4 linked regions of the Lepisosteus oculatus genome follow. The protein of the gene in region 1 purifies or fractionates together with the protein of each later gene. This does not show direct contact. Links are inferred from orthologs where the notes say so. Each region holds a gene or a part of one and is shown in the gene's direction. Other genes may lie near its edges. The genes, in order: aurka, dicer1, ppp6r3 and calcoco1a.

Region 1 (8,015 bases):
TTTGAGTTTTATGTAACCTGCCGCGCCTCGGGAAGGTAGTTTTCTTCGAGCGGTGCTCTAACGAGTTGGGCGGAGTAGGTACCGAGCTAGTTTAAAATGTACCTTCTTTTTAAAAACGCGAACTCCTTCGTGTCAGACCTGACCTGCAAGGCGTTTGCTCCCGCGTGTTGGTGGACGAGGGTGCGAGACCCTTTAGATCTTCAGTGTTGTGCGTCCCTGTCTTGTTACATAAGACATTGGTTGATTTGGACGAGAGGCTCATTTACAGGCCCCATCCCCAGGATCCTGAGAAGTAAGGAATTTTAGACTGGGATTATCTTTCGTGCTGTGTGCTGACTTGTCGGGTGTGGAGCTTGTTCTCCCTGCTCCCTTGGGCTGAGATCTGGCAGGGGGAGAAGGCGATGTCAAACCTTACTTTCGTGTGCACATACAGTGCCCGCTGCCTTCCCCTCGTGAGTGTACCTGTGTGTGTGTTCTCGCCGCGTGTTCCTTTCCTGCAGAGTAGCATTGCATGTGCCTGTCCGCCTGTCCCCTCCGCTGAGGCGCGCTTGTCTGTGCTCCTGCAGGGCCGCGAGGCGATGGAGTGGGTCATCAGGCGGCTGAACTCCGAGATCGAGGAGCTGGCGGCGACCGCCCGCAACACCATCCGGACGCCCATGGCTGCTGCCGCCGTTACTGAGAAATGACCCCTGAGCCCGGGCCCTTACCAAGGGGCGCATCCTCCTCTCGCCAGCACGGCCTCCCTCTGTGTCGCCGCAGACTAATTTATTGTGTGTTCACGCCGACGGGGATCTCCGATCGCCTCTCTGTCCCTCCTGCGCTCGAGGGCACTCTTGATCCAGTGTGATCCAGCCAGGTGTGACACAAAGGGAGGCTGTGGAAACGTATTTATTGCTTGGGCGGGCAGCCTAAGACTCTGGATTTGGTGCCGGTCCTGCGAAATCTGGCTCGTTCGTTATTCTTTTTTGTTCCTTTAGGTCAAAACTCTATAAAGGTTTGTGGGGAACCTGGGCTCCCAGCGGGGGGGGGCACAGGTACTTTCCTGACGGCGCCGGTTCAGACTGAGCTGGGCTGTGACCATCCTGCCACCCCCCAGCAAGAAGGTTTTGTGAACTGGACCTCCTGCAGCTTGTCCGTGGTGCTGTCCGGGTCCAGAAAGAGAGGGATTTGGACTGCTGGGACCCGGCGGTTCTGGGTCAGAGGCAGTGGCGAATGCCGTCTCAGCCCTGGGCTAGAGGGGTGGGGAGGAGAGAAGGGATTGGGAATGCAAACAAAAACTACAGACCAGGTCTGCTGTCAAGGGTGAAGGATATTTATTTATTTTATTTGTAGAGGTAGCGATTTAGCACTTGTAAAGATTCTATTTATTTGAGCCACGTTCTCGCAGCTGACTGCTCCTCATCCAGAGTCCTCCTCTGAGGGCCTGAAACGGGCCCTAGCACGCCGGTTCAATCCGGCAAATATCTCAATACTTGAATGTCAAGTACTGTACGTTTCTCTTTTGGAGTATTAACTGTTGTACCAGTGGAGGAGACCACGGGAACAGAGAGCGGACCAGGGCCGGAGGGCGCGCAGTGGTGCTGTGCACGGCTGGCGTCTCTGAGCTCAGCTTGCGCTGCCCGGGGTCGGGGGTCAGGGGTCGGAGGTCGGGGTGGGGGATCCTTCTTCAAAAGGTTTACTTGCTGAAGCGCTCCAGGAAAGAGGGGGCGCCGCCCTGGATAAATGCTGGCTTTGGCAGTGCCACAAAAGCGTGCGTAGGTCAGAAAAAGGAAAGGGGCGTCTTTGTCTTACACGCACAAGAAAGAAAACCCACGAGTGGAGAGAGGGTACTGAGAAACCAGAGATGGGGGAGGGTGGGACTTTTTGCTTGCTGTACAGTAGGAGTTTAAAGGAATTGTGTATCTTTCGAATGTTCATAACTTTTCTTGTTACCCTGTCATGTAACAAAAAAAGTCCTAGTGTGTTTGGACATTTTTGGAATGTATTTGACCGAACTTAGTGACAAGAATTCAGTGATTGCAGAACTGAAGTCATTTCCGCACTGTGAGCCCTTTTGATTTCTCCGCGTTGACCTGCCATGACCCTGAGGGCATTATATTACATTTGGTCTACATCTGTCTGTAGGAAACACACTACCCACCTCACTTCTTCATGGTGTACATGCTGCCTAGGCTGTGCTTTGCCACTAGACTCGCATTGCCCCTTGTCTAAAAGCTGAGCTCAACAATGTCTGATCCTCTAGGAAGATGCGCTGCTGAGCCACAGTGGCATCAGAGATCTAAACATAACTGGAAAGGTTTGATGCTTTTTCAACACAAGCATAACCAGCCTGTGTCACATTGCATGCACCTGACCTTCTGAGAGACCTGCAAGGCTGTCAAGCTGTTGCAGTCCTTCTGTCACCTGCCAGCTACCTGTGGTGTGAGTTTTATTCGGAAGAGCGAGTGACGTCACGCTACAGGAATGCGCAGAGCTGTTGGGAGTAGGGAGCGGTTGTCAGGATGAAGCTGGTGGAGAGGTGGGGAGCCCGAGTCTTTAGAGTGATGCCATCTCCTGGTTTCTCCAAGTCCAGGCCCGTCGAGCTCCAGCCCTCGCCGTCCACCTCCGCGGGGCGTTTTTACAACAGCCAGCTCTGCGGTCACCTTATCCAGACTGCAGGCAGGGGCCGCCTGCGGACAGGTGCTGTGGCAGCGTGGAGACCGAAGGGTCACGCAGCACGCCAACGTGTGCTCTCCTCCACGACCTGCACAGCGACATGGATGCCGATTCAAGGGAGCATGGATTTTCCCCGTGCCTCACCCAGGGTACCCATGAAACTGCTCGGGGGCTTTTGCAGGCGAAGGTCTTTATTTGGAAAGATCTAGTTCTTTTTGTACAAAATTCCACGATTCCCCCGTGCAGACTCGATAACGGACTCCCACCCGTTTCTTCATCCTGTACGGGGCTGCAAAGAAAAAGTCCCGAAAACGCCCTCTCTGCCGGTCTGGCTTGGTAGAGCGATGCATGTCGGGAAGCTGGTGTAATTAATCCTGTCCTGAGCGCCGAGTTGCTGCGAATCTGTAATGCATGAATGCTGACTAATTTCTACATGCAGGAGTCTTTTACTTTTGTACTAGCGGGTGTGAAGCCCGAGACTAACTTTAACTCTGACTTCAGAGGAGTCCCCCTCCGCCCGCGGGAGTCATTTCCTTGGAAGAGTTTGTGTGAGCCGGAGTGTCGTGACACGGCGGCTGTTCTCGCCTGATCCAGCGCCGGCCTGCCTTGCGAGTTGCCGTTTCGAGAGCTGTTGCTCCGGTGAAGGAGGATGATGGACCTGGAGGCGAGCTCGGGTGCTGTGCTGTGTGGCAGTCATCTAACCTTCGCTATGAGCTCCTGGATGTGTGGCACTACTGAGGGGCCTGGGTTGTGACTTTTTTTATAGGTACACAGCATTTGTGGTGCTTTATAATGTTTTTATACCAATAGACTATGGTTTAAAAGAACTATCAGCTAGAATGTGTGCGGTGGGGGTGAGGGGGTAGGATGCATTTTGTTAAGGCAGGAGAAGGGTGTTTGGTGAGGAGTGAGTGCGGGTCTGTGCTGTGTGTGATGGAACAATACCGATGTCAACAACATGCTTAACGAACTTGTAACAACTATATGCTTAATAAACTTGTAACAATTTAGCCTGGGTGTTTCTTTCTTCACAAGTGGGAGTGGATAGTGGGGAAAGGATAAGGAGCTGCACTGGTCAGTTCTAAGGCCGGTTCTTTAGGGTCACAGGAGTTTGGTTTCTTATTTTTGTTCCCACTCATTATGACACCAATTCCTCCCGGAGGAACTCAAATTGGTGCTGTTGGATCTGGTTGCTGGGACTGGGAGAAATGGGGGTGAGGCCGATGTTCTCTGGAGACGAGACGGCTTTGGTATCCGTCCTGCGTTCCTGCTGCTGTGAGACGTGTGGCTCAGGGATGGAGCCTGGGCTCCCAAATATCTGCCAGAGCTCGTCTGAAGACGCCGAGTGACCCTGCAGGCCGTCTGTGTCTCTGATGAAGACCAGTATAGGAGGTGAAACGGCCAGGTGGTTGGTGCTGCAGACAGAAGTGTGTTCCTGCAGAGGCATATTATCATTGCTCTGGGTCAAGGAAAAACTGTCCCTGCTATAGCACCCCGTCTCTAAGACGGCCTCAGAGCAGCTGCCCTCCTCTTGCAGTGTCTTCCAGCTCACGCAGTCCTCATCTGTAGCCGGGGGGTCAAAAGGCCTGTGGTTTGGGAGTGACACAGGCTGCTTGCAGGTAACATGTGTTTCTCTAGTGTAAGTACACTGGCTACAGAGACTTTCAGTGAAGACTGAGAGGACAAGATGCATGTCTTCACAAAGGCTGAGGTGTTGACAGTGATCAACTGCGTAACGGCGAAGGGGGCTCAATTGGAAGCTGTGTTTAGTACTCCATACAAGGTGCATGTCTTTCCACAAAGGGTTGTAGGAGTCTGGAACAATGCATGTTACAGAAGCAGATGGCAATAGGTTCATAAAGAAGAACCAGCTGAACGAGAGCCTTAGATCGACTTGAAACGGCACGGGTAATGGGGGAGTGGAGGCACGCTGGGAAATTCTGAATTCAGCCATTCTTTAACCTGGTCCTGAAGGACTTCTCCCTACTGAGCCCTTAATCACCAGGAAATTAAAATAATTATTAATTTAAAAGGATTCAATTTTTTTAACTAAGATTTGAGAAATATGATAAAAACTTATTAGCATGGAGGATTCATTTTTATATTACGATAATAGCCGTATTATCACACGGTCTTGAGAAAATGGTTCTCGCCGCACAGCGGCCGTAGACTTGTCCTTTGGCGACAAGCAGGGGGCGCTGTGGGAAATCGCAGCACCTTTTACACCGGCTCTGTACGGTTGGAAAGGCGGCCCCAGCCAATGGGGAGCAGGGGCGTGGTTTGATCTCGGCCAATCAGACGCGGGGAAGGTTTAAAGGTAGTTAAAAGAGGGAGATTTGAATTTAAACAGATTGTAGTGACGTGCGATAGGAGCATTGCGGCCTGCGGGCTGGCTCGGCAAAAAAACTGTGGGTTAAAGCTGAAAATAAGCTCTTCTAATTCTCGGATTCGCCTGGTAACGTACCTGAAAGGATTTAAAATACAGAGACGGGGCAGAAAGCGCGTTTCGGGTGTGCGAGGAAAAGGAGACACGAAAATCCGTCGTTCGGCCTGAACAAGTAGCTAAAAGCGGTACGTGAGAGCGCTTCTGATACTAACGTGGCCTTTTTTCGTTTTATCGTGATCATCTGTCATCTATCATGATCATATGTCAACCAGTTGTGGCTTAGAAGTCTTGGTATATGTAAATAATGTGCTTGTTATTGTTTCCGGTCCGGCGTGGGATATGTATCTTTTGTGGAGAAATGTAGTTGCTAATCAAATATTTTTCAGCTGTATGTGTAACAAAACCGTGAGTGAAACGGAGGTGGCAGTGTCGTGTCCATTCAGGCTTTGGGGAAAAAGGTTCAGAAAAATGCGTACGGTTTCCACGTCGCCATAGGAGACGCGTTTATACACCAAACGATGCGTCTTGAACAGCGAACTAGCCGAATTCGCTTATCTGCAGCGGGACGCCTTTCAGACGTCGATTAAAATCGTGAAGATTATCTGCAGGTGTGTCGCCCTGGGATTTTTAGTTGTGGTGGCGATCGTGTTTTATTTTTAAAATAAATTGGGTATGCTGGTTTGTATTCTAGATCCCTTAGTCGTGTATTTTTAAAGGAGACAGTCGACTTTATTAGCGTAACTCGTCTTGTTTTAATTAAGAACGCGTATAAGAGTTTGAACATCTCTCTTTCCTTCATCGCTCCTTTCTCCAGTGATCCATGGATGCGGCCAAGACGGCGAGGAGGTCGCAGTGTCCTGCGACTGCGAAAGTAAGCTGTCGCCGGTGTGAGAGCCGCCGTGCGCCTCCCGGGATCGCCGCTAGGGGGAGACTCGTACCCACTTCCGAATTCCTGATCGTTTAGTTTCTGAATGCCCGTGCTGCAGAGGGGCCAAAGATCACGTGTGCTCCTCGGGAGGGCGCAAATGCAGGGATAATTTCCGCTTGCACACAGTTATCCCCTCCACCCACACGGGGGATCTTTTGTCTTGGGTATAACCATGAAAAACCGATTCTCAGGGGGGGAAAAAGTTCTGATCAGTGCTTGCAATTGGTCCGGTGGTTCCTGGTCCTGGTGACCTGCAGGTTTGTGTTCCAGCCGAGCCCTTAGTCACACAATCAAACCCTTCATTCGCTTAATAATAAGATTAATGTGATCTGTTTGTTCCCGGGTCTTACACATGCTGGAGCTTTAACTGTTGTACTTTGTAGGTGAGAGAAAATCCCTAACTAAAAACACAATGCAAATATTCACCGGAAGCAGCTCATTAGCATTAGATCAGGTAGGGCTGTGATTATCTAATTACAGTGGGATGGAATGAAAACCGGCTGGTGTGCAAACGCCTTACCTCTCTAGTCTGATCTCCTTAGGTGACAGTTGTTTCTGCTGTGACACAGAACCAAAGCTTAGGAAACTGTGGCTCATTTCCCATGTTTCACTAAAGTTAGCTCTTCCAAGCTTTCTATAATATGTCTGTTTTCTTTCATTCCAAGGAAAGCTTGGTGTTTTGAAACTGCACTGGGCAGGAGTTCTGGAGTGTTGTAGATTAAGGCTACCTGCAGTGTGAAGTGTGGTCCCTGACTCTCCTCTCCCCATGTGTTAGCAGCTCAACAGCGACGGCCCTAAACGGGTCCCCGTGTCCCAGAACAAGCAGGCGGGTGTGTCCACGTCCTCCCAGCGGGCCCTGGGCGTCTCCAACGGGCCGCAGCGCGTCCAGCGCCCCGCCGGGCCGCAGAAGCTGCCCCAGCCTCCGGCCCTGCGCATCGAGGCCTCGCAGGCCTCCCGCGAGAACACCCCCCCGCCCGCTCGGGGCCGGACCACCTCCTCCTCCTCCGCTCCTGCCCCTGTGGAGCCGCCCGCGCAGGAGAAAACTGCAGGTGGGCAGCCCTGCTTTCCCCAGTCTGCGGTGTGACACTGCTGGGCTTGGGCCTGTCTGAGGGAGGGCTGACGGAACATGAGCTCTGGGATAGCTGAAATAGAGCATTACTGGTAACTTTCAGAATAAGCAGCGGTCTTCAGAGCTCCCCGGTACTTGCAGTTCACTTATTTCGATGTGCTGGAGCGAGGAGTGTCCAGTCTGAGACATCGGGGACTCAAGTCAAGACCTGTTGGCCGTTGGGCATAGAGAGGCAGGAGAACGAGCTCTAGATCAGCACAGGCACATGTCAATAAAGGAAATATCTTGGATACATGAAGGATCTGCACACAAAGTCAAATGTTCTTTTACACTAATGTTCAAGAATGTCCCTGTAGTAATTGTCCTTTTTCTTGTGCAGATAAAGCTGTGGCCACTGGATCTATGAACTCTGTCAACTCTAACTCTAAGTAAGAACCAGGAATTGAACTCTTGGGGGTCACATTTTCCGTATTAAAAAAAAATGCATTGTCCTTTTCTCAAGCCAGCAATTAGAATCGATTTCTTTACTTTGCTCCTGGTGCTACTGCTCGTCTTGCATGTGAAGGGGGGGACACTAAACCTAGATCAGGAGAAATTGTTTTTTTTCTAAGCCACTTCTCATATTTATCTAATGGGAAAACTTCCTGAATCCCGTTCCTTCTTCCTCAGGAAGCGCTGGAGCCTGGAGAACTTCGACATCGGCCGGCCGCTGGGAAAGGGCAAGTTCGGGAACGTGTACCTGGCGAGGGAGCGGCAGTCCATGTTCATCCTGGCCCTGAAGGTGCTCTTCAAGAAGCAGCTGGAGAAGGCGGGCGTGGAGCACCAGCTGCGCAGGGAGGTGGAGATCCAGTCGCACCTCAGGTACACCTCCTGCAGGCTCCTTGGGCCTCCCCTCCCGCCGTGGGGAGACGCCCTGTTCACGAGCTTCTCAACATTCCCATGTGGAGAGTGGAGGGCAGTTGAGTGCAGGGAAGTGT
Region 2 (7,936 bases), on another chromosome or scaffold:
TAAACTGTTTCTTTGCAAATGGTTTCAATTCGACATGTCTGAGAGTCTTCTTGTCAAAGGCATAATGTGATTTTTAAAAATAATTTTAAAAATGTATTTATTCTTTTCACAGGAGGAGGTTTCTGAATTGGTTGAAATATCGGTTTCCGCTGCAACAGACAGCTCTGAGCTGAAGGAAGAGAGAATAAATGGAGTCAAGAGTGGGAAGCGCTCCTGTGTCGCGAGAACTGATTGGGTCCAGCTCCCACCAAAGATATTCATCTCCTCTGCATCAGATGATCCAGAACACACATCTCCCGACAGAGGTGGGCACTGTCAGCCCTGGGCCCACGGAGACGACTCCTCGGAGTCCACCTCCAGCTCCGCAGTATCTGCCGGGAATGGAAAACTGCCCCTGGAGCTGTGCTCTGAGATGTCCTTCCTAGTGTCCAGCTCGAGCTCCCCGCAACCCTCCTTCGTGGACTCAGTGCTTGACTCTCCGGACTCGCTGAGTGAGATTGCGAGTGAGTCCATGCCGCTGGATGGAGAAGGACAGTCTTCCGACAGCAGAAGCAGCAGCTGCCTCAATGAAAGCGATCCTCCTTTTGATCCCAATGGCAAGTGCTCCCCTGAGAAATCAATAAAAACTGTAAAGAAAGATTATATCCAGGGCACGGAAACTCCACTAGAAGACAATGCTGCAGAAGACAACATTTTTTCTGACCTTTTTATCGATGAAGGCACTTTCTCACAAAGTTCTGTGGATAGCTTTCACATGAAATCCAAGCTTCTGTCTGAGGAAGAAGATGCATACAGATACATCTTGGATTTGAATGATGCTGAAAATGCAAGTCAGTCAGAGTGCTGTAGTGGTCAAGAGGAGATTAGCACACCCAGTGAAGCCCAGGACAGACTGGAGACTGCGCTTAAGCAGAATTGCCTGTTGCATCACAGTTTAGAGGAGATAGTCCCCTCATTTATGGCTTCGTCCAGTGCTGACTTGTGTGGGAATACTGTCCCTTCAGAGCAGGACAAAGAAAGGAATCAGGAAGGGCTGAAACTAGATGCATGCACCAGACCTGAAACTCAATGCACCACCCAGCTGCTTTGCATTAATGAACCTGGTGAAATGAATGGAAGTGTGGTATATAATGCTAGACAAAATAGTATTTTACCTGTGGACATGGTGTACTACCCTTGCTATGAAGAAGCCGTATCAAATGTTTCTGGAGCATTTTCAAAGCCGGTCACTGAAAGAAAGCAGCTTCTATCTGGTCCATCTTTAGGTTCTGACAGTGCTCCAGCACAGTCCGATCACCATAGAAACACAGAAGCCTGCACAGGGAATCACCCAGACATGCTAGAAACAGAACTTCATGCTGATCTGGAGCACCTTAACAGAGTCACAGAAAGGTCTTGTCATGGGTCCATGTCTGCACAGCAAGACAGGGGGACAGAGGACCACTACGAGTATGTGGTCAGTACTGACGGGGAAGTGTCCACAGACAGGCTGTCAGACTCCATCAGAGATTGTCTTGCAGAGCAAAGCCAAGGCTCCAGTCAGTATCAGGTATGCAGAGATTTGGAATTAAGTATTTATTATTATTATTGAAATAGGGAATAAGATTACATGTTGTTAATGTGCTGCATCTTGTTTTAAAGATTTGTCTGACTTTTTATTCAAAAATGATTTATTATTAATCGGCTACCTGTTAAGCTCACTTATTTAGGGGAATATTCAAAGGATGAATGTATTGTAATAAATGAGTAACAGATGCCTTAGTTTACTTAGTAAAGTTAAATATTTTTAAATGTATCTTTGAATTTTTACACATTTTCATTCATATGTATCTTTCCTTTAGTGGGGAACAAGAGTGGTATTATATGGAAGTTGTATTATTTTAAGCAGGCTATTATAAAACTAGAAGGGTTGTACTATTTATTTAATAATACTGTATGAATTCCTGACTATCACCAACCAACCTTTTTTACTGCTGAAATGTACTGAAAGTGGTGGTAAAACTTTTTGGTAGCTAATAATTCATCACAACATGCATTGTAAATTTAAACTGATGTTCCTGAAGCTTCAGTGTTGAGGTATGTCAGTTCGATTATGTAGCCTGTGTGACACCTGTGCTGTTTCCCTTCTTTACTTAACTTAATGTCCTTCCCCTCTGGCTGAGTCCTTGCAGGCTGTGATTGCTCTCTCTTTATTCATGGCCAGGATGCAGGAGAACAGATTGAGAATAAAATGCCAGGAGGTGTGGATTGTGATAAGAAGGAGCAACAGAAAGAGGACTTCTGGGATTTAGAAGATGTAGAATCAGATGTGTCTGAGATCAGCTGTGAATTTATTACTGCCACAAAAGGACATACTGCTGCTGGAGAAAGCACAGACTTACCGAGGTACCACAGTTATCTGATGTAACACATAATATTCTCCTACATGGTATAAATAAGAAATGTTGTCTCACTGGTGATTGATGAATATAAAGATAAGGTAATATTTAATTATATTAGCTGTGCCTTAAAATGACATTTAGTTATTAAGATACTTTGAACTTAATGGCCTACTTGGAACTGAAAATTTGGTCTGTGCCACACGAGCTCATGGCCTTAATCTGCAGTATCCTAGTCAAAAGGAAGGAGTGTGCATGCTGGACACACCAGCAGGTGTTACTCTACTGCTCTGCGCCTTTGGCTCATGCGGTGTGACAGCTGCTGCGGTCTGTTGATATTCATGTCAGGGTTTTTACCGGAATCAGTCACAGTCAACAGGATACTTTTTTTAGCCTTTTGTCAAAAGCAGCATTTGCTCCCATTTCCCCCTTCAGTAAAAATGAAAGAGTAGTTCAGTAAAGTGGTGGAAAACATTAAATACATTTATTCTCTCTGAGCAGCACAGCGGCACCGTGTGATGATTCACTGAGAGAAAGCCACCTTTCTCACATGCTATACCTGAGGAAGCTTGATGACAGTGAGGACATTAAGGTAAGTTAATAAGAAACCCAGCCTTAAAGAAAGAATTCAGTCATTTTAAAATATCTCCCTATAATGTGCAATTTAAGCAATGTGTGATAAAGAAACCTTTAACTTTTTTGGAAGATTTTACTTCTCCATTAGCTGAATGTAGAGATGCATGTAGAAATTAGTTTTTTAGAAAGGTTCACCATTTCATTGGCTTGTGTGGAGATTAAATCTAGAACATATTGCAGTTGTTTTATCTACCTCTACAGTTTCAGACTTGGAAAAACTCAACACATCTGTGCCAAGTTGTCTCCATTTAACACGAAGCATGCAAAGGAAATGAACAGGTGTTTTTTTTTATCTTAACAGGAGACAAGCATGAAGATCAAGGCGAAAGGGTGTGAGACAATTCAGACAGTTAGTTCTGATACCAGGTATTTTATATGAAGACGCCTAAACATTGTACTGTAATTCTGCCCACATTTATCATTGTATACTGTATCACATCACCTCACTTTATTAGCCACATACAATTGTCTTGCATTAGGAATTCATCTTCTCGCATACCCCAGGTTGCTCTCCATGAGACACAGACACACAGACAGGGAGAGAAGCTTGGGGTCAGAGCGCAGGGTCAGCCATTGTACATTGTACAGCCCCTGGAGCAGTTGGGGTAAAGGGCCTTGCTCAGGGGCCTAACGGAGAAGAGTTCCTCTGTCGGCCACAGGATTTGAACCAGCCACCTTCCAGCCACTGGCATAGATCTTTAGCAAAAGTGCCACCACTCCGCCTGTTGTAGACTGTTGCTGAAACAAATACTAAAAATCATTAGACAAATATTACAATTACATTGTGATTATTGATTGATTTATGATTATTTTAAGGCTTTTCACATAATTTATACATTTTATTAAATATTTCATCTTACTTTAAATTATTAACTTATCTAGATGCCACCTTAATGTTCAGATCCGGAAGTGCAAAATGGCTGCTGTATTAATTAATCAGTCAATCTTTTATTTGCTTTAATTGCCTTTGCAATAGTTTGTCACAGAGCGCTTTACACATTCACAATATAATGGTTTAGGCTTGGTCATGCATGGAATTTGTTTGGAGTACAAAACAAATTGGACCTTGAAGGATATAGTAAGAAGATGAACAGTTTATCTGTATCTTTTTCCAACAGTAGAGGCTAGATAGGTCGAGTCAGTCACAGTTAAGGATTAAGGCAAAGATAGAGAGCACAGGGTTCACCAAGGAAGCCTAAGAGGCTGGTTGTGCCCCTTGTAGTGGGAGCACAGAAAGACAGTCTTCCAGCAGCACGCAGTGTCATGTAGCAGGTCAGAATGAATACAGAATGACACAATAGGCTCTGTGGTATTAACAGTTCAGAGAGTCTCAACAAATCCAGTACTCTTAACTCGGTAAGTGAATTCTGCAATTCTGTATTGAAAAATGTGACTCGTACACTTACAGGTGTCCTGGATCTGGAAGTAGCTCTTAGAGCCTGAAGAAATCATCGTTACTCACCTTGTGCTCACATTCAGTGAGCCTTTTGTTCTGTTCCACAAGCTTTCTGTGTGTGTTAATATTGTACACTCATCAAATTAGATATTACCAGGTGTTGTCTACTTTCGTTTTTTCCCATGACAACCACTTGTAAGTTAAAGTTCTCACTGTGCTGCTGGAGGATCTCAGATACAGAGGTCTGCACTGCCTCATGGTGTTGCAATCACCATGCTTGAGTCAGAGGCTCATCACCTCCTTCATCACAGGGTGAATGAACCCCTGGACATTGCCTGAATGGCAGCTCTCTTATCTTGCAGAGAGGAGTACAGCGGTTCAGAGAGCTCGCCAGAGACGCCTGTCAGCTCTTCGGAGGACTGCATGCAGCTGCTGCTCTTCCTGTGGATCCTCCTCTATTGCCTTTTTCTCATCCCCCAGCTGGACCTTGAAGCTCTGCCACATGCTCTCCTTGCACTGAAGAAATGAGGAGCTCTGTTACATGTTACAGGCTTCACGGAAGGTCACAATCGACAGAGGACAATCAAGAGCACAGAATGTTAATCTACTCATGTTTGTACATATGCATTTTTGTTTTATTTTTACTTTATAACTTATTACTGACTTCGTAGCCCAACTGGAATCTGAAAGGACACTAGACTGCAAGGAGTCACTAGATGGTACAGTAACAGCGCTGCACACGGTTTACTGCCTTTAGAAAGTCTTTTATTACAGTGTTCTGTAGTTTATAAATAATTATTATTGCTTGTAAAAGAGCCAGTCATTCTAAGTGGAAGGATGGTACAGTTTTTTTCACCAGTGGATATTGCAGCAGTAGTTTCAGTTTTGAAATATGCAAGGTGTTATGTCACCTTGTGCCACTTTAAAGCATTAGTCCATGGACTCCACATCAGTCTCTGTGTTCCTATACTTGTGCTGCTTACATTTTCTATAGACAGAAACTGCCAAAGATACAGTACAGTATTTAGAGTGGAGAAAGGCTGGGCCTCTTCTTTTGCTTTGCTTACAAAGTAAATACAGTCTTGGTCTGTGCATTCTTTTGCATTTTAAATTAGGCAAGCAAGTTTTAGTGTGAGAGAGTGTTTAATTTATAATTGCTTTTTTGCCAAACATGAAGAAAATAATGGAACTTTTTGTGTCGCAAATAATTTTACATAAAATGTAAATATATAGAATGAATACTGTATTCATTTCTATTTTTATTGTTTCTTTCGTCATAAGGTTTATAAATTCTTGATTTCAGAATTCTTGGGATATTTAAAGATCTAAAAATGCACTTATTTACGTATAATTACATTGGTAATATTTAAAAAATAGTCAGGCTTTAAAATTGTTTTTGTACAATTTATATTAATGAGAATGGAACTACAGAACTTTAAAGGTTTTATAATGGATCATGTATTAATTGTATTTCTTTTGTTAAAGGATGTTAAAAGGTTTCAATATAGTGCTTTACAAGTAATCTGAAAAAAACTAAATTTTCATACGAATGAGTTCTAATTAAACTGTATAAAATGGTAGATTTTTTACTGTTACCCGAATGATTAATTTTTAAGCTATGGGTTTTGTTGTAACAGAAGAAATAAGGTTCTTGATCCCGAGATGAAGTGAAACAGATGAGTTTATTGCATGCAAGGAACAATAAAGCCGAAGTCTTGTTTCCCGCAAGAAACAACAAAACCGAAGTATTGTTCAACGTACTGTTACAAACTTTTGGGTTATATAGTGTTTTCTTCTCCGTTTCTGACGTCACTCGGTATGATGGTAAAGAGGGGGGTTCATGGTATTTGGCCAGTTTACGATGTTCTGGGCAAATGGTCAGTTTAACATTACACCCAGGGGGGTTCCTAGCTGGCATCTGCAATCCTTATCAGTTAACCCCCTTTCCTGCCATAAACCCCTGCTTGTGACTTGGAAGTCTAAACCCCCTACAGAAAAGATTAAATTCAAACCCCCGTCTTCACATCTTTCTTCATTCCCCCCTTATAAAATATGGCATACGTCAGTGTAGCCTATTTTTATACATACAATGTCAGGGCAGATCTTTCCTTTCTTGGCGAACAGGTATGTATTGCCATGACATTGTACATTCCACGGTTATGGCAAGATGTGATACATGTTTTTGTGCACGTGATGATTACAATTATACATATAAACAATACTACTCCTACAGATAAACACTATAAAAAGGTTCCACCCCAGGCCCCAAACACAGACTTTACCCAAAACCCAATTCCCCAATTTTCAGTATAATAGTCCTGATATTTCTGTCCCTCATTGTAAATGTGTTGGGCCAGATCTGAGATGTGCTCAGAATTATCAGGGATATATGTGCAGCATTCAGTGCCAATTACTGCACAAGTTCCTCCTTGGGCCGCCAGTACATAATCTAAAGCTAGTCGGTTCTGCATGGCCACTGTTCTGAGGGCTACCATCTCATCATTAACAGCCTTCAGACTAGATGAGGTAGAATTTGCTAATTCTTCTAAAGTCGAAGCCATTTGAATTAACTCTCGACTCAGAAAGTTCATGCCGGCTTGTGGAAATATTATACCTAAATAATATTCCCAATCAGCCAATTTTCTTTGTGGTCTGTGGTTAGGTCCGAAGGGGGTGTGGGTTTGAACACGGATATGAGGAACCACATATCCTAAATAACATGAGCCAGACCACTGGGCTGGCAACCATGGGTAGGCTCGTTTTCCACAAATGAAATATGTTCCGTTTGGCGCTCCCCATGCCTCTGAAAATAAGAAACTTATACCGAATTGTGGGGTGTGCCGATCCCATCCTGGAATTTGGAAGGTAGAGGTGGATATATTTGCAGCGATGGTAAGGTTGCAACGACTCCATCCAACCAAGTGCAGACCATTAGTGTGCTGAAAACATATGTTTCCCTCACGTTCCTTATTTAGAGTCAGGTATGGTGGTGTATGGCTTCTGTTATATTTAGGAGCGTAAGAGCCTGTGAAACTCGTGGGCTCTAAGCCTCGCTCCTGTAGATACTGTAATGTTGTGCAGGTTAAAGTCGTGTTATGGCAACCCCCATAGTTTGTCATATTAAAATCTCCTAAATTATCCCTCCAAATGATCATGCCTATGACTTCCTCGAGACGCCAAGGAATGGCTCCCATAGGAAGTCCTCCCTGTACATATTTGGGTAATGCTGCACACACACAGCAGGCACTTTGGTTGGTTTTCTTAGCTGTCAGATAGGAGAGGCCTAAAAAGGAATTAATTCCATGTTCTCCTTTGTGGGAGAGATGATCATTAATCCCTGCGGAACATAGTTCTACAGCAACAATTATCATTATTGACAGAAATGATTTCATTCTGAGTCTGTAAATGGGGATGAGGCTCGTCGGCAGTGTGGCGCGTGGATCCAGCGATCTTTTCCTTCCACTCGAACCGCAGACTCGGTTGTCAACAGGATCTGGATCCCATCTGGGCTGGAGAACCTGTGAAG
Region 3 (7,181 bases), on another chromosome or scaffold:
AATAGTTGTACGTTGATAGTGTGTGAAATGGTTAGGGTGATAACTAAATGAATAGACTGTTCCTGCAGGTGTGCAATAATCAAGAATACTTATTTAAATTTAATGATGCATTGTACTTGTAGCTGAATCCCATAGGGAAATGTCAGGGTCTCTCTCCTCTACAGGCCTGACTTATTGTGAAAATGACAGTCTTGATTTTAACCAGCTGTTACAAAGGTAAGTAGGAAAGGTTTGCATTTCATCTGGATAAGAATTCACTACTCAGAATTCCCAGAGGACCCAGAATATTTCATACATAGTGCTTGCCATAAAACCACGTTGCAATATATATATATATTTAGACCAGATGCTTACTTTAAAAAGGAGACTTATTTTCAAACATATATTTTTGCTTAGTCTAATGTATTATTTTAATTAAAATGTGCATATTGGAACAGATTACTAAAAAAATATCATAACACTTAGAACAGAGAGTGTTTTGTTACATTGTGACCTGAAAATGATAGAAATGCAATGAAGCCATGCTGTAGTTTTCATCTGCGATGTCCTCTGACATGCTGTTTTTTTGGAATCTATAGAAGAAATGATTTGAGCAGCTGAAGCTGTATTTAAGGCAGTTTAATATCTTCCTTGTCTGAGGGGGATACACACACACACACAAATGCCTTAGAGGACTGCAAATACAGCACCAGACAGCTGGGTTGGATTTAATCAGTGTTTACAACACTACAATGCATGTATACAAGGCTTCTAACGATTAACACAGCTGCGATTGGCACACAAATCTTAGCGACGGTTTTGTAATCCGCCAGTTTCTGATCCGCACATAATCTAAGGGTCAGATGCCAGTTCTTGTTTTTTACGCTGCTCTGAACATACTGTAGTATTCCTGCCCTGCATTATGGTGTGCACAGTATACAGTGTGCTACAGCAACACTGAGGTACACCACACTGCAGCTGACCCCATTTCAACAACTGAGGGATGTAAGAAGACAGGGATATCCAGGCACACCTGGGAAACAACTGGCAGAGCGCACGCACATAAGACACAAGTAAGGTGTGATTATTCTCTCCTTTCTTCAGTGTTATATGGTTTATTCTTCAGTGCTCTTGCTCATACTGTTGTGTATGTAGCTTTGTCCAGCGTTGCAGTGTAATCAAGTAAACAAGCTGTTAAGGAGACCTGCCCATTTTCTTTACCCAGAGAACCGTACCATTGCAACAGGACACCAAGAAAATCACAGGCGCAGAATGTAAATCTAAGCGACGCACATCTGTGCACCTGTAGTTAGTGCCAACACACACAAAGCAAGTGCAACAGTGCTGAGAGATCAGCAAACGGAATTGCTTTTCAGCTCCAGGGAGATCCTGGAATGCCCTTATGCAATAGGACTGTGGAACATCACTGTCTAATGGCTTCATCTCTTGGTCTGTGACCACTACACTTCCCCCTTTCTTTAGGTCCAGCGCCCTTTTCCGACTTCACTTTTCATGAAGGCAGCAGTCACATGTGTCCAGGTGACGTGGCAGCTGTCAGCTCTGTCGGATCAGTCCTGTTTATCACAGCCCGTGTGCTGCAAGCCCTCCCTCGCATGTGTGAGGCTTTATTTGTCCGCGGAAACTGCTCACTTTATCAGGCCACACTGCTGTCAGCCAGAGCTGCCCCCTCCTGAGGCCAAGGGGTGGAGATTCGCTTCAGTCCTCATATCTGGGGACAGGATACTGCACGCAGCAGGTGTACGAGCCTTGGCTGCTCACACACACAGAGCCACCCGCGACACTTGCAACAGAGATGAAGGCACTGTTCACCAGAGACCGAATTGAAGATTTCACTTACTCCTTTCTTGCCTCCAGACTACATGTGCCAAAGCATTGGTTTTTTTCCATATAGGATTAAGTCTACTTAGTGACAGAGCAAGAAGGATTGAAGACATGAAGGGATGTCTATGAGAAATAATATCTCTATATGTTCTTAACATGTATTAAAGAGTTGATAATATGATAATATTACAAGAAATATATTTGAACATAGAAACACCTTTGTCACCTGTGGCAATGCTTTGTAGTTAACGTTTAATTTTCCCTAGTGCCCTAATGCATGTTGATCATATATTTGACATATACTACTGTGTGCCAGGGCTCCTGAACCCTGATTCTGGAGGACCAGTGTGTCTACAGGCTTTCAGTCCAACAGGGCTCTTAAACACCAAACCTGAGTCAACTCAATATTGCTTTAATGGCTTTAATGGGCCAGTTTAAAAGCTTCTGTTAGCTCTTCGGGCACAGCTGCTTTCAAGAGACTTGAAACACCTCCTGACACACCAGCCTTCTGGGACAGGAGCTGGTAAACCCTGATACTTGAGTATCACAGTAATGCTTCTTCTGAGTCCCCATAACAGGGACCTCCAGACCCGGTCCTGAAACAACCAGCTTTATTGCCTGTTTTAAAGGAACACCTGTAAGCTATTGATAAATTCAGCAACCGACATGTTCTATTAAATAAATTGTAATCCTTTGGCACTGAACATTTGTAACAAATTACTTTGATTGCAAAATGTACAACCACTGATTGCAGTTCAATATGTCCCAGTCTTCAGGACCCGATAGTCATCAAGTATGGCAATAAAGCCGGAGCCATTGAGGTTCAATCTGAAAATATAAAAATGTTCAGTCATGAGACTGTGTAACTGCATCTTTATTGAAGCTGCCTCATCAGAGGTATAATAAAGTAGAGCTCAACAACATACATACCCTGATAATTGCCTAGGAAAGGTTCTCTTCCTCCTTTATGGTGGTCATTGTGTTTCGGTGCAATTTGAAGGGAAAAACTTTGCCCTTAGGAGTTAACTGCATAAAATGTTTATTCAGCACCTAACTATGGAGCTGGTGGCCTTTAAAATGTTTTACCACAACAGTGGTTCGGGCAATTGCCTTTCTGTTTTCTGTTAGCGTTTTGGTTTCCTAGATTCTAAAGATTAAACCTGAAAGATACAGCTTAGAAGACAGCAGGATATACAGTATACAGTACACAGAAAAGTCAGTTCCTTAAGGGAGTCTGAATCTTAATAGTATTGGAGTGTTTTTGTCTTTTGCATATGTACATGCAAAATTGTCTTAAACCTCTACTTGACAGATTTATCTGGTATTCTTCTTTAAAGACATTAGACTGGGTTAAATCATAATTTAAGTATTTTTTTCCATCAGAACTTCGCAGGCTTCATGAGATTTACACGTCTTTTTTATTATTTCCCAGTTGCGCTCATTATGGTAGATTATGTTAATAGTTTTACTTAATCTTGTGTGTGGCTAGTTACTCACTATACCAAATAACCCCCCTAAAGACCCAGCGAGTGCCGACCCATCTAGCTGACTTGACTTCAAACCAGTTTCGCTCGCACTCAGAGACAGAGGCCCGTATCAGTCAAAAAAAAAACAACAAAACCCGCTTTTCCGTTCACACCATTGGCGATCGGGCTCGCCGGTACTCGTCATCCCGAGGTGGTGATTGGACGCAGCAAATGTCAATCATGTCAATCATAGCGACGTCACATTGTTGCTAAGGCGTTGAAAACAACTGAGGAAAAACGTTCGCGGCGAATCCGAAAGCGAGTTGGATGGGGCGTTGAAGGTAGGGCGACTGATGCAATATTTTATTACAGTAAGACATTTTCGCCCCGATATGCGGGCTCGTTAGTTTCTCGGTGAGTGAGCGCCGCCGTGCAGTTCACGGCCGCTCAAAGTTGCGAAGTGTTTTAAACCCTCAAAAGTGGAGCGATTCACTTTTCTTCCTTTTGAGTCGTGCGGGATACTGGTTTGACTGACGACGGCCTCGGCCAATCAGCTTACAACGCCCAGAGGCGAGTGTGAAACTGGATCCATCTTGGCTCCAACACCACGCTTCCGTGTCGCGATGAACTCCAAAAAGAAAGGCACCAAAATGGCAAACGTCGACCGCAGTTTCTATCGCAGTGCCGGCCGTCTGCAAAACGTAACCAATCACGCCTGAGAGAAGTGTGCGTAACGCGTCACGCTGCTAATATGATTGACAGTCGGCTCGACAAATCGCTCTTCTGTATGGAGGGAGGCTGAGCTTGACTGACGTCGTTTTAGCCCAATCACAGACGCGCTGGCAGCTTGAGTGGCAGGTGTGGCAGTTATGTATGGGGGGAGGGGTCGCTGAAGTTGATAGATCCGCCATCTTGGAAGGTCCTGGTAGATGGTCTTATCTATTTTTCCCGCCTGCTGTAAACATTTTATTTTTTTTTAAAATACGATTCCCCGTTTCCTTCGCGGTTTATGTCCGAAACGCTCGTAGCAAAAACGTTTTCAAAAGCTACATGCCTGGCGGTCGCCATTTCCCCTCTGTTTGTCGGTACGTAGTCCATGCAGTTCTTGCTATTGGTCAGAGAGGACTAGTTCGCAACTCCGCTGTTTTGCAGAGTCAGAGTGGTTGGGGTTTGTTTTCTTCTTTTATTAAGTTTCAGAACGGGTGCGACTGTGGCCGTGTGACTCTTTCGTCTGGTTTGTGTGCATGCTTTGTGCCGGCTCTGTTCCGGTTCTTTCGTGTTAAAAGCGTGCCGAAAAAGCCGGTTGACAAGTTCGTGTTTTGTCCGTCCCCCCCCCGTCGGCTCGGCGTAATCGCGAAGTGTGTTTCCAGGCTGTGTTATCGTCTGTTTGTGCTTTTCGCGTTTATCCGTCTCCAGCTCGGCTGGTGCGGGTATCTGCCCCTGGCTTGGGAAGTTCAGTTTCTTGATTCGGCGATTTTCCGGTTTGCCTCCCGCCGCGACGCGAACTTGGGTAAAACATCGCTCCGGTTTGCTCGCTTTTTATTTCCACCTCTCGAAGTGTCATTTTAGTTGTGTGGGGGTTTAAATCTTTTTAGCGATGTTACATCTAAGTTCACGAGTCGTGAACCCACACTGCTGAATGTAATAACGCTTAGGGACTTGAATATTTCAAGGCTTGGGCCTGACAGATGAGGAACCCACCTTCCAACATCAACATTTTGCAGCAGTGTTTTGGTCGTATACTTCCTTTATCGTGTAACAAAGTTGACCGGACTTCCACATTAGCTGCATTATGTGCCTTTTTGTTTTCGCCACAATGGTCAGTTTTGTAATTAGCGAAACGATTTCTGGCTTAAAATTACTGTCTATGTGTATATACGTTTATATACAATATAGTTACTTGCGCCGATTTGGCATAGTATTTTGAGAAAATGAAGTCGTACCCACAGGAGAGGATTAGATATGTAGCATAAACTTTTTTATAATTGCTGAGATACTGCTTCGTCTGCATAAAGATGTTGGGCGTTTTAAATGTTGTCCAAACATGACGACTATATTGCAGAAGTATTGTATGCAAGTCTTTTTATGATTTAGTAGAGTAGTAGTGGTCCCTTATTAAGACAAATCACATTCAAGCTTTAGGTCAGTGATTCTCAGTCCTGGTCATGGAGTACCTGGGCATGTGTGTGCTGGGCATTTAATCACCACTGTGCTAATAGCTGCCAGTCATTTCTGCTTTTTGTTAGGCTTTTTATTGCACTCAGGCCTTGGTTTTAAAAATATATTTTTACGGTGTCTCTCGGTGCTGGTCCTGGATAACCTGTGTGTGGATTCCTCGGAGTTTGGTCCAGGGAAGTGTTGATCACGGACTAATTATTTTAAAATCCTGACTCACTGGGAGTTGTCAGATAGTCTCGGTCCCACGTGTCTGTCGATCAGTTGATCACCTATAGATGTTTAGTCAGAGATAAGGGAGCGATTTCTGAATTGAAAGGTTGAGAAGAGATTGCATGAAGAGATGTGTGATGATGGCATTTCTGAAATCAAGGACTGAATGCAGAAAAAGTCTAAATCAGTAAGCAGATCGGTTACAGGTAATTAGCACTGGAGATAAAGGGCCCAAGAGTAACAAAACACAGCAGGTACAATAGTATTCCAGCACTGGTATTGAGTACCAGTGCTTCAGATGTCTTGGATTCCCACTCAAGTTTGCATTTTACAGTTAGTGTTTTTAATAGAATCTATAAAAGGGCCTGCAAAATGTACAGTGGAAAACATAATATGCGTAGAGTCGTCATTCTGCATTAAGGCTTGCCCCTAATTCTTAAGTCGTTTAGCTTCTGCATCACCAGTCACTATTCCTAAGTATCATGTCTCTTAGACTGGAGGTTGTGATCTCACACCATGTGACAGCCAAGTATGGAAGATGAGCAAAACTCTTCATTCTTTTGGTTTGATGAAATATAAATGTTATACCTTTTTTTAGATTGAACTGTCATTTGTTTGTCTTGGAGTTTCTAATGATTGGACACCCGTTAATAAGCAGCGTCGTGATCTGTTCATCTTTACTTTTAATTTAATCTGTCATGAGTTCAAGTGCTTGCTTTCTTCTGCTGATACCACTGCAAAAAAAGTGAAATTAAAATCCCAGAATTCAAGTTGGTAGTTGGTACAGATTTACTATAGTATTTGCATTCTGAAATAATTTAATGACTTTTAAGTCATAAAAAATAGAAGTAAATTACGTGAAGCATTATTGTACACTAATAGAGTGGTGAATGTGAAGCAAATGTTTGGATAATGATGTTTGTTGAACCAAAAAGGGAAGTTTATTTCTTAGTTTATTTTTTAGTGGGATATTTTTTTTTATCAAAGTTATAAGTTGCAGCTTAGTCCAGTAGGGCATTAATATCCACATTAGGAGGTGCAGTTTCTCGTCTTACGATTGTGAGGTTTTGGACCAAGTCCAGCACCTATGCATAGCCCAGCCCCTTGAAGAATCTATTAAAAGCTTTCCTTCCTCTCCACCATTCATGAGAAAGAAAACTAGGCCAGGAGAAATCCAGATTTCTCTCCTGTCACCTTTCACCTTCATGAATGTATTTGCTTTATTCTTTTGGTTGCCTTCCCAAAGACAGAGCTGAAAAGCTAAGCTGCATCACTTAACTACCGTAAAAAAAATTGATACCCAGTCCTGCTTGGCAGTCCTATTCAGTTTTTGTTTTGATAAACATTGTATCTTTTGGGGATTCTGAGAAAAAATATTATGGTAAAACTGGCTGAGATATGGTTAATTTATCAGTCATTTAAAATTGTTTTCTTTTTGAGAAGATACTGTTAAGCAATTTGCCAAAGGTTTTTAGAATGAGTTGTAGTAATTTACTCTTGTTTATC
Region 4 (7,469 bases), on another chromosome or scaffold:
GCAACCCATCTGTCAGCCCCCGGTCTCGTCCTGGTTTCATGTATAAAGATCGCTCAGCGGACTGCATCTTATTACTCCTTCTTGTAATGCACGTTTATTGCACCGAAAAACGAGCCTGTTCTCCGTTCTGCTGCGCCGCGTATGTACGGGACAGGGCTGCGACGCATGGTGCCGAATGACGCCACACGGCAGTTTGTCATACTGTCAGCGCTCTGCCGTGTTGCAAACCACTCCGCTGTGCCTCATTCCAGCACCTCTTGCTGCACTGTGCTGAGAGGCACTGTCTGCCTGCTTGATTCTGCTGCCATTACTGTAGGCTGTTCTGCTAGATAGGGATCTCCCTGTGGGTTCTGTTTTCTGTAGTGTGTGTGTGTGAGAGAGAGAGAGCGAGAGAGCTGGGTGGCAGAAAGGCTGGGGCTCTGGGACTTCTCAGCTCTGTGTCCTGCAGTAAAGCTGTCAAGGAGAAGCCAAACATCAGCAAGGCCCGCTGACCAGCAGGAGAAGGAAGAGGGGGTTATCCCATGATAAGACTTCCATCAGTTATCCCACTTCCCTCGTCGCTGGGGGCGGCCTGGCCTGTGTTTCTAACTCTGCCCAGCACACGCTGCAATCACTCCCTCTCAGGCTCCCCACGCAAACTCCTCGCAGACAGGAAAATCTGTCCCACTGGGAAGTCCGTCCTGTCACCTCTGCCTCCTCCACAGGCTCGCGGCCTGGTCAGGGACTGACCCCTGTAATCAGACTCATGTTCTCACCAAATCCTTTGTTACCGGGAGTCAGAGACGATCGCACAAAGGCTCACCCGTGCAAACGATTAGTCAGAGGGGTTAGATTAAAAACCCGGGGGCTCTGTGTGTCTGGAGTGGCAGGGATCAGGGAGTCCAGCGCTCTGCAGCAGCAGGCCAGCTAGTTACAGAGGTGAGGGCCAGGGATGCTCATGAGGTACCGATGGCCTTCCCTGAGGTGGGCTGGACTGTCCAGCAGAATGCAATGGAGCAGGTAGGCATGGAAAGGAACAGCTGCTACCGCTCACCTATGCCGGTCACAGCAGCAGAGAGGGGCTGGCAGGGGTAGAGATGGATGGACAGAGGGAGCTGGCAGTAATATTCAGCTTACCGACCGTAAATCACCAACACACACACACACACACACACCTCCCCCACCCGCCTCTGCTTCCCCCAGCCAGACTGACTCTGTTAAAACCACTTCATTGCTCTTTATTGGGGCGGCTCATTCACTGCCTGCATCCCATTAGCTGCCGCGGCGGCGGAGCGCTTATGTACTGAGGTGCCGTTTCCTGGGCTCTTTATCACCGGGGGGAGCTGTCACTCAAAAGGGGCTCCGCCCCCCCCCCAGGTCTGGCACATGGGAAGAAGCCGGGCCTGCCCAGAGCAAGGGTGGTTGTCCTCCACCCCCCCATCGACAATCAGCTGGCTAATTGATTCAATTAACTCAATTAAGCGCGCACGCAGAAGGGAAAGCCTTCAGCCCTGTACCAGAAGAGAGGTTCACTGTCGGACACTCAGTCCCACGGCTGCTGGATCTGCTGCAGAGCCCTGAGATCCACAGGCCCTGTGGTGCGGATGCAGTTGGGAAACGACTCTCCCTGTAGCAGCTCAGCCCAGACCGGACGCCTAGTGCACAGTGGTTTCGGGAGTGAAGGACAGACCAGTCTTAAATGCACCTTTGAATATTTAGGCGCCTTTCAGCTTTGTCTGCAGAGCCAGCCCTGGAAAGGGGCGAACCAGGCGACGGCCTAGGGCCCCCTCAATGTGCAACACAATGTCTTGTTCATCGGCTCGGCTCGATGAATTCTTTCTGTTGTGGCTGTGGATCATCCTAATGGAAGGCGGCCATAATGGAGACCGTCGTGTTTTCTGAAGCTGAAGAAAAGAAGAGCAGGCTAAGCGATCTCAGACTAGAGCTATACCACGTCAGGTCATTGCAATAGTGCACAATATGCAGAAGAACGTAATCATTTGTACTGCGTTTGGTTTTGAGTCTGTCAGATGCACTAGCGAACGGTAGACAAGCCAGATTTTCATGTTACACACGCAGACTGCTGGAGGTGTTTTACTAGAAATGAACAGATGTGATTGTACACATACCATGTGGGTCGCCCGCCTGAAAATCGGCACTGTCCGGCCAAAAACAGCGTGAAGATGAATGAACAGTACAAAAGACTGCTCAGCACAATCGATTACATGTAATTGAAATAAAATGCATTGTTATCCTTGCGGTTCCTCCTGTATTTCCTCTTGTAGTTCCTCCTGGAGCGCTACAGGAGGTCATTCTTGCCTTCTGCCATAAGACTGTACAACGCATCCACCTTGCATCTGAGCAGAGGCAATATTGACAGTGACCTGTTTCTGGACTGAACACATCTACACATCTACTGCTACATCTGTTCTCTTTCTTTTTCTTTTTCCCATTTACAACCATTTTTTGTGCAATACAATTATATTTATATCTATATTTATATTCATATGTGTGATACGATTTTTCTGTGTACTGTTCTGTTCTAGTTTGTTCTTTGTGTGTCCGGACTGTGAGTAACTCTTGTATTGTATTGTATGTATTGTACTATTATTATATAACTCGTTACACTGTGGCTGTGTTGTGTGTGTTAAGCTGCTGTTGCACTGCAATTTCCCTCACGGGTTCAATAAAGTATCTATCTATCATTTCATTAAATGGGGGGTTTGTGAACTCAAACCAGTAGCCCTTTGGATTGTAATCTCTCTCCCAGTGACAGCAGCAGGAGTAGTGCTTTTCAGAGCTCATTCAAACATACCTGAGGCAAAAATATAAGAAAAATGATTTATAGAATGTTTATCAAACTTTCTGCTCAGCCTTATTGATCTCACCCCCTTGTCATTGAGTGCATTTGGTTTTTATTAATTTCATATTTTTTTCTACAATTACTTTCTACAAAGGTTGCAGTGCAGTATCTTGTGAGTCATGATTTGCTATAATTTTGAAGTAACAGAGGTCCTTCTAGCATTATGTATTGTTATTAATGTTACTATTTATTACTCTCAATTGTAAAATACATTATGTCTGTTAAATGTGTGCTCCACGTTCTGGTTGATAATTTATGTATTATGTGTTCTTGAAAGCTGGTTAGTGAAAGTTTTCTAGTTCTATAATTCATGTATTGAATTGTTCTAAATAGTGAAATAAGGTTGTGTTGGGAGCTGTTACTAGCAGTGTCTGCACAAATCATGATCTGCAGGGGCTCCATTCCAAGATCTTACCCAGGGCCCCCAAAAGACTAGGGCCGTCCCTGTCTGCACAAGAGCCTGAAATCTATCAATCCCGAGAGTACAGAGAAACGAGAGAAAGAACCAGGATTTTCCTTCCCCGTCAAGGGTCTCAAACTACAGTCCTGAGATCTTCCCCATCGATCGTTAAATAGATTCATTTTAAATAATGTGTCTAATAATAATGTCCGCCTCAGTTTATGTCTCTTCCGGTATTAAGAAAAAACAGTGAACAGGGTGACAGCTTTGCTCAACCGCGCTGTTCATTAAAGTTTGCCGCCATCTGGTGTTCAGATGCGCATCGCGTTTGACAACAGCTGTCGCGGTTGTCCCGTCAGCGCGACACACGCGTGTCAGCTACCCCCAAACTTAATAATACACACCAGTGCAGGTTAACCGGCCCCTATTACAGACTACAGCTGCTGGTCAGGTGCCGAGTTCATTACTAGGGGTCAAATAACAGCGATTTTATTAGTCGTCTAAGCTCCAGAAAATAAACTGGCATTTCAGAATCCTGGAAGGCTCGATGAACCTTTATGAAACGACACCAGCGTCGTACAACGTTGAGCTTTAGTGATGTGTTTGATGTTGTCCACGTGTGTGATAAAGTACACTATCGCTCTGATCAAAACAGAAGGCGGGGAGCCAAGTCAAACCTTTCAGTTCAGTTTATGTCATATGCACAAGTGCAATGAAATGCGTATTTACACGTATCCTCCAATACAAAGACAATAAAGGCATCACCAAAAACATAAACACAGAACAGCAGCAGCAACAACAACAATTAAATAACATACAACTTTTAAAAAGTCAGATAAGCAGTATGAGAGAAAAACACATCAGTGTGAGCCGGCGGTAGGGGTAGAGTTCAGTAATCTGAATCTGGAATCTTTCCTGGCCTATAAATCTTCATCTTGTTCCTTCCATCGCAAAAGCTGCCGATTTATTTATTTTTTTCTGGAAACTGTAGCTTGTACAGGCGAGCCCTGAAGTTGGTTTAAGGTTTGCATGGACAGAAACCACATCCCCCATAATGCATCGCTGCTAACGGGCTGCAGCGCATGTTCGATTACTAGCGCGTCATTTCCGTGACAGGGGAGCTGCAGTCAAAGTGTCCAATAGCGTCGGTCCCCCAGACAGAAAAGAACTACATTTCCCAGGAAGCAGCGTGACGGCCCACGCGGTCAGGTCTCTGTTTTTGTTATTGTTATAGGTTAGTGGAACAGCTGACGCGGAGAGAGGTCGTTGAGAAAAGAGTTCTGTGCGTCTTCATTTGAACATCTTTTCAGAAAATACAGGTGACGTTTTATCTACTAGTTGAATGGAAAACAAGTTAAAGACAAAGCATATCTTGTGTTTACTTTAGTGTACTTGACTGTTCGTTTTGCGTTTTTATTATTTTCAGAGAGAGAGAAAAATGTAACTTAATTATATGTGTCTTGTGCGGTTTTAAATGTTTTCGTACGCAGTTCTTATGGGTTTCTTAAGGGGACAGCGATCCCAGATGGGAATCGATGCACATGGTTAAAAAAATGTATACTTAATTTCTGAAGGATGAGAGTAATTTTAAACTGGTTTGCTGCCAGCGAAGCCGAAAACAGCAATTTAGTACACCGTTACCGAATCATGCGTCCCGCTTTCCGGATGCCAAGAATGTTTCTGTTAGACGTGTTTTTAGAACTATTAATGAACCTCCATCAGCGCAGTCCTCATCAAGAGCTGTCTCACGGGTGTTACGCCGTGCACACACTTGAAATGTCTCCAAAACCGCGGCCTTCGACACACTGAAGGCCTGAGTGCTTGGGAACAATTACAGCGACCTAGAGCTGCGTGGACCACAGGCCTCCCGTCCTGAGCAAGACTGAGAACAGGCGGCGGCGGCGGGCGAGAGCGTGGGTTCTGCGTGACCCGTCTAGCGCCGTCGTGTCGCTGGCGCTACTGAAGCGCACGACTCGAGTTGCGGGCGCCTGCGATATTGCTGGAATTCATTTTATTCACGTCGGCAAAACTCAAGCGAGTACACGGACAAAGCGAGCTGCGTGACTCGATGACTAGCTCAGCTTCCGCAGAGATGGTTGCCTTCACCTAGCGTTTGAGAGGAACACGTGGACCGGGACTCTCGCAGGTGCGGGTCCACCCTGCGTGTCTGTGTCGTGCTCTGGCGGACGAAGTTGTTGTTTATTTCTGTGCCGATGATTATAAACCCCTCGACCCCTCCTCTCCTCCCCTCCCTTAGTCATGCTCCGTCAGCTGGACCCGCGGTGTCCCCTGAGTCCCCCTGCTCATGTTGCAGCGCCCCCCTCCCGCTCTGTCCCTTTCTGAGAAAAGTAGGACTTCGGTTTCCAGAAGAATTTGGACCCCCGGTTTCACAACACCTTGAGCCCTGAGCCCTGCCTCTCTCCGTGTCGCATGACTTTCGGCTCGCTGTTTCGGGTATTCAAAGGCATCTAATTTCGTGTTTGAAGAGGCGGTGTGCAGTTGTCCTCTTCGCGGCCTCAAGTTGTCGGGGGCCGGGGGAGGCGGGACGGGTCTGTTGCAGAGGCCGTCTTTGAGGATTGAAATTTGTGTCTGATCCCAGGGTGCTGGGCATTCCTGCACACAGTGCTGCAGGTACAGAGTGGTCTGTGCTGGACACGCCCAGCAGGAGGCTGTGTAGCGCACACAGCAGTTCCGGGATTGAGTGGTCCCTAGCTGCTGCCACCCGGAGTGAGTGACTGAGCCTGCTCGTGATCGGTGCGGAGGATGGAGAGTACAGCCAAGGCCCACTAGCAGGAGCACAATCCCTGTGGCACTCGCTGAGGACAGAGGTCCCTCCCCTGTCTGTGCCTGAAAGCACCTGCTGACAGGGGCTATTGTACCAGCAGCACAGACCTGCCGATTCACAAGGGCTGCTTTTATGGAGGGTGCCCGCTCTGCTGCGGTGTGCCCCGAGGCCCGTGTGCGAGGCAGAACGGGAGGAAGACAAAGGGAACGCGGACGAGCCTGGTGGAATTACCTGGCCCAGGTGTGCCAGAGGCAGTCAGGAGCAGTTCCCACGGCAAGGCTGCCAACACTGCTGGAGAGCGTCCAGGGAGAGGGATAAGGGGGTCTGGGAGAGGGGGGGGGGAGAGACAGTGGGTGCTGAGACAAGGCAAAACAGAAGGGCTGGGGAGATAAGGGAAAGGGGATAAAGAGGGAACTGGAAAGAAGCGAGAGAGGGAGGAGGGAAGTAGAGTACTTAAACTCTCTTCCTGCTCTGTGTAATGGTAATGTGGTACATAGATCTGCATCTCATGGGTATTCCATTGAGTTGGCATGATAACCCAGGTGCCCTGCTTTCCGCTCTCCGTCTTCCTGCATCGACCTCTGTTGCTCCCCTCACCCCCAGGTGGGTGTGTCCAGAGCCCTGCAGTCGCCATGGAGACGACAGCCCCGCCCCAGTGGAGGGTGGAGTTTCGGAATGTGGGGAGGAGCTACTTCCCCCAGAGCCGCGTGGAGTGCCACTACAGCATGAGCCCCCTTCACTGCTGGGCCAGCAGTGACTGGATAGGCCTCTTCAAGGTACCTTCCTCATCCTCTGTGTCATCTTCCCCCACCTCCTCAGCAGCCTCATCAGTGTTTTAACTAGGCTGGCTCCTTTTGGCCAATTATACATTTTGTTTGTGGAGCTTCAGCCAATCTGAACATTAACTTCCCTATTTTAACATGTTTGTCCAAAAGGCAAGAGCTTAGCGTTTTAAAATAGATCCTTCAGCCTTTACAATCCATTTCGTGTTTTCAGGAAACGTGGGAATTCCTTCACCTTTTTCTTTTCCCAAAGGCCCAAAAAGTGCATCTCTCCCACTGTGGAAAAAATTGTGATTTGAGGCAGTTTTGACTTCATGATTAATATAGAAAAACACAAACCGCCGATTGTCAGTTTCTCTGTGAATGGAGACTCTGTGCTGTCTCCCAGGCTTCAAGGAGAGATACCAATTGGCAGGTGTCAGTGTTGATTTAAATAAAGCCATTGGCTTTACAGGGTGAGCTTTTTACTGCACAGCAAAATCAAACACATCAGGCAGGAGGGAGCCTTGTTGTCAGCAGCACTGCTGTCGTTACCGTCGCTGCTGGTTTCACAGCTATTGTCCTGGAATCTGATCTCGTCTCTGTGCCTCCCCCTCTCCCGGCGCAGGTGGGTTGGTCTTCTACACGGGATTATCACACCTTTGTCTGGGCTCTGTCTCC

The links.
Region 2: the proteins of aurka (region 1) and dicer1 purify together in Homo sapiens (affinity purification with mass spectrometry; 4 studies listed by BioGRID and IntAct, counting the BioPlex papers as one, with this or other methods). This does not show direct contact. The link is inferred for Lepisosteus oculatus from reciprocal best matches to the Homo sapiens genes AURKA and DICER1.
Region 3: the proteins of aurka (region 1) and ppp6r3 purify together in Homo sapiens (affinity purification with mass spectrometry; 6 studies listed by BioGRID and IntAct, counting the BioPlex papers as one, with this or other methods). This does not show direct contact. The link is inferred for Lepisosteus oculatus from reciprocal best matches to the Homo sapiens genes AURKA and PPP6R3.
Region 4: the proteins of aurka (region 1) and calcoco1a purify together in Homo sapiens (affinity purification with mass spectrometry; 3 studies listed by BioGRID and IntAct, counting the BioPlex papers as one, with this or other methods). This does not show direct contact. The link is inferred for Lepisosteus oculatus from reciprocal best matches to the Homo sapiens genes AURKA and CALCOCO1.

Annotation. Positions count from the first base shown.
Region 1 is NC_090711.1:2,943,233-2,951,247, reverse strand, and holds the start of aurka (aurora kinase A), read left to right. Parts: upstream 1-5,013; 5' UTR 5,014-5,226; intron 5,227-5,855; 5' UTR 5,856-5,861; coding exon 5,862-5,912; intron 5,913-6,744; coding exon 6,745-7,018; intron 7,019-7,417; coding exon 7,418-7,466; intron 7,467-7,707; coding exon 7,708-7,899; intron 7,900-8,015. Other genes in the region: prelid3b (PRELI domain containing protein 3B), read left to right, coding at 567-686. UniProt on the Homo sapiens protein: Mitotic serine/threonine kinase that contributes to the regulation of cell cycle progression.
Region 2 is NC_090703.1:556,227-564,162, forward strand, and holds the start of dicer1 (endoribonuclease Dicer), read left to right. Parts: upstream 1-4,938; 5' UTR 4,939-5,022; intron 5,023-7,936. Other genes in the region: clmna (calmin), read left to right, coding at 113-1,549, 2,204-2,385, 2,880-2,970, 3,316-3,380, 4,773-4,938. UniProt on the Homo sapiens protein: Double-stranded RNA (dsRNA) endoribonuclease playing a central role in short dsRNA-mediated post-transcriptional gene silencing.
Region 3 is NC_090716.1:11,765,683-11,772,863, forward strand, and holds the start of ppp6r3 (serine/threonine-protein phosphatase 6 regulatory subunit 3), read left to right. Parts: upstream 1-4,174; 5' UTR 4,175-4,372; intron 4,373-7,181.
Region 4 is NC_090696.1:19,076,435-19,083,903, reverse strand, and holds the start of calcoco1a (calcium-binding and coiled-coil domain-containing protein 1), read left to right. Parts: upstream 1-4,455; 5' UTR 4,456-4,561; intron 4,562-6,630; 5' UTR 6,631-6,659; coding exon 6,660-6,803; intron 6,804-7,416; coding exon 7,417-7,469. UniProt on the Homo sapiens protein: Functions as a coactivator for aryl hydrocarbon and nuclear receptors (NR). Recruited to promoters through its contact with the N-terminal basic helix-loop-helix-Per-Arnt-Sim (PAS) domain of transcription factors or coactivators, such as NCOA2.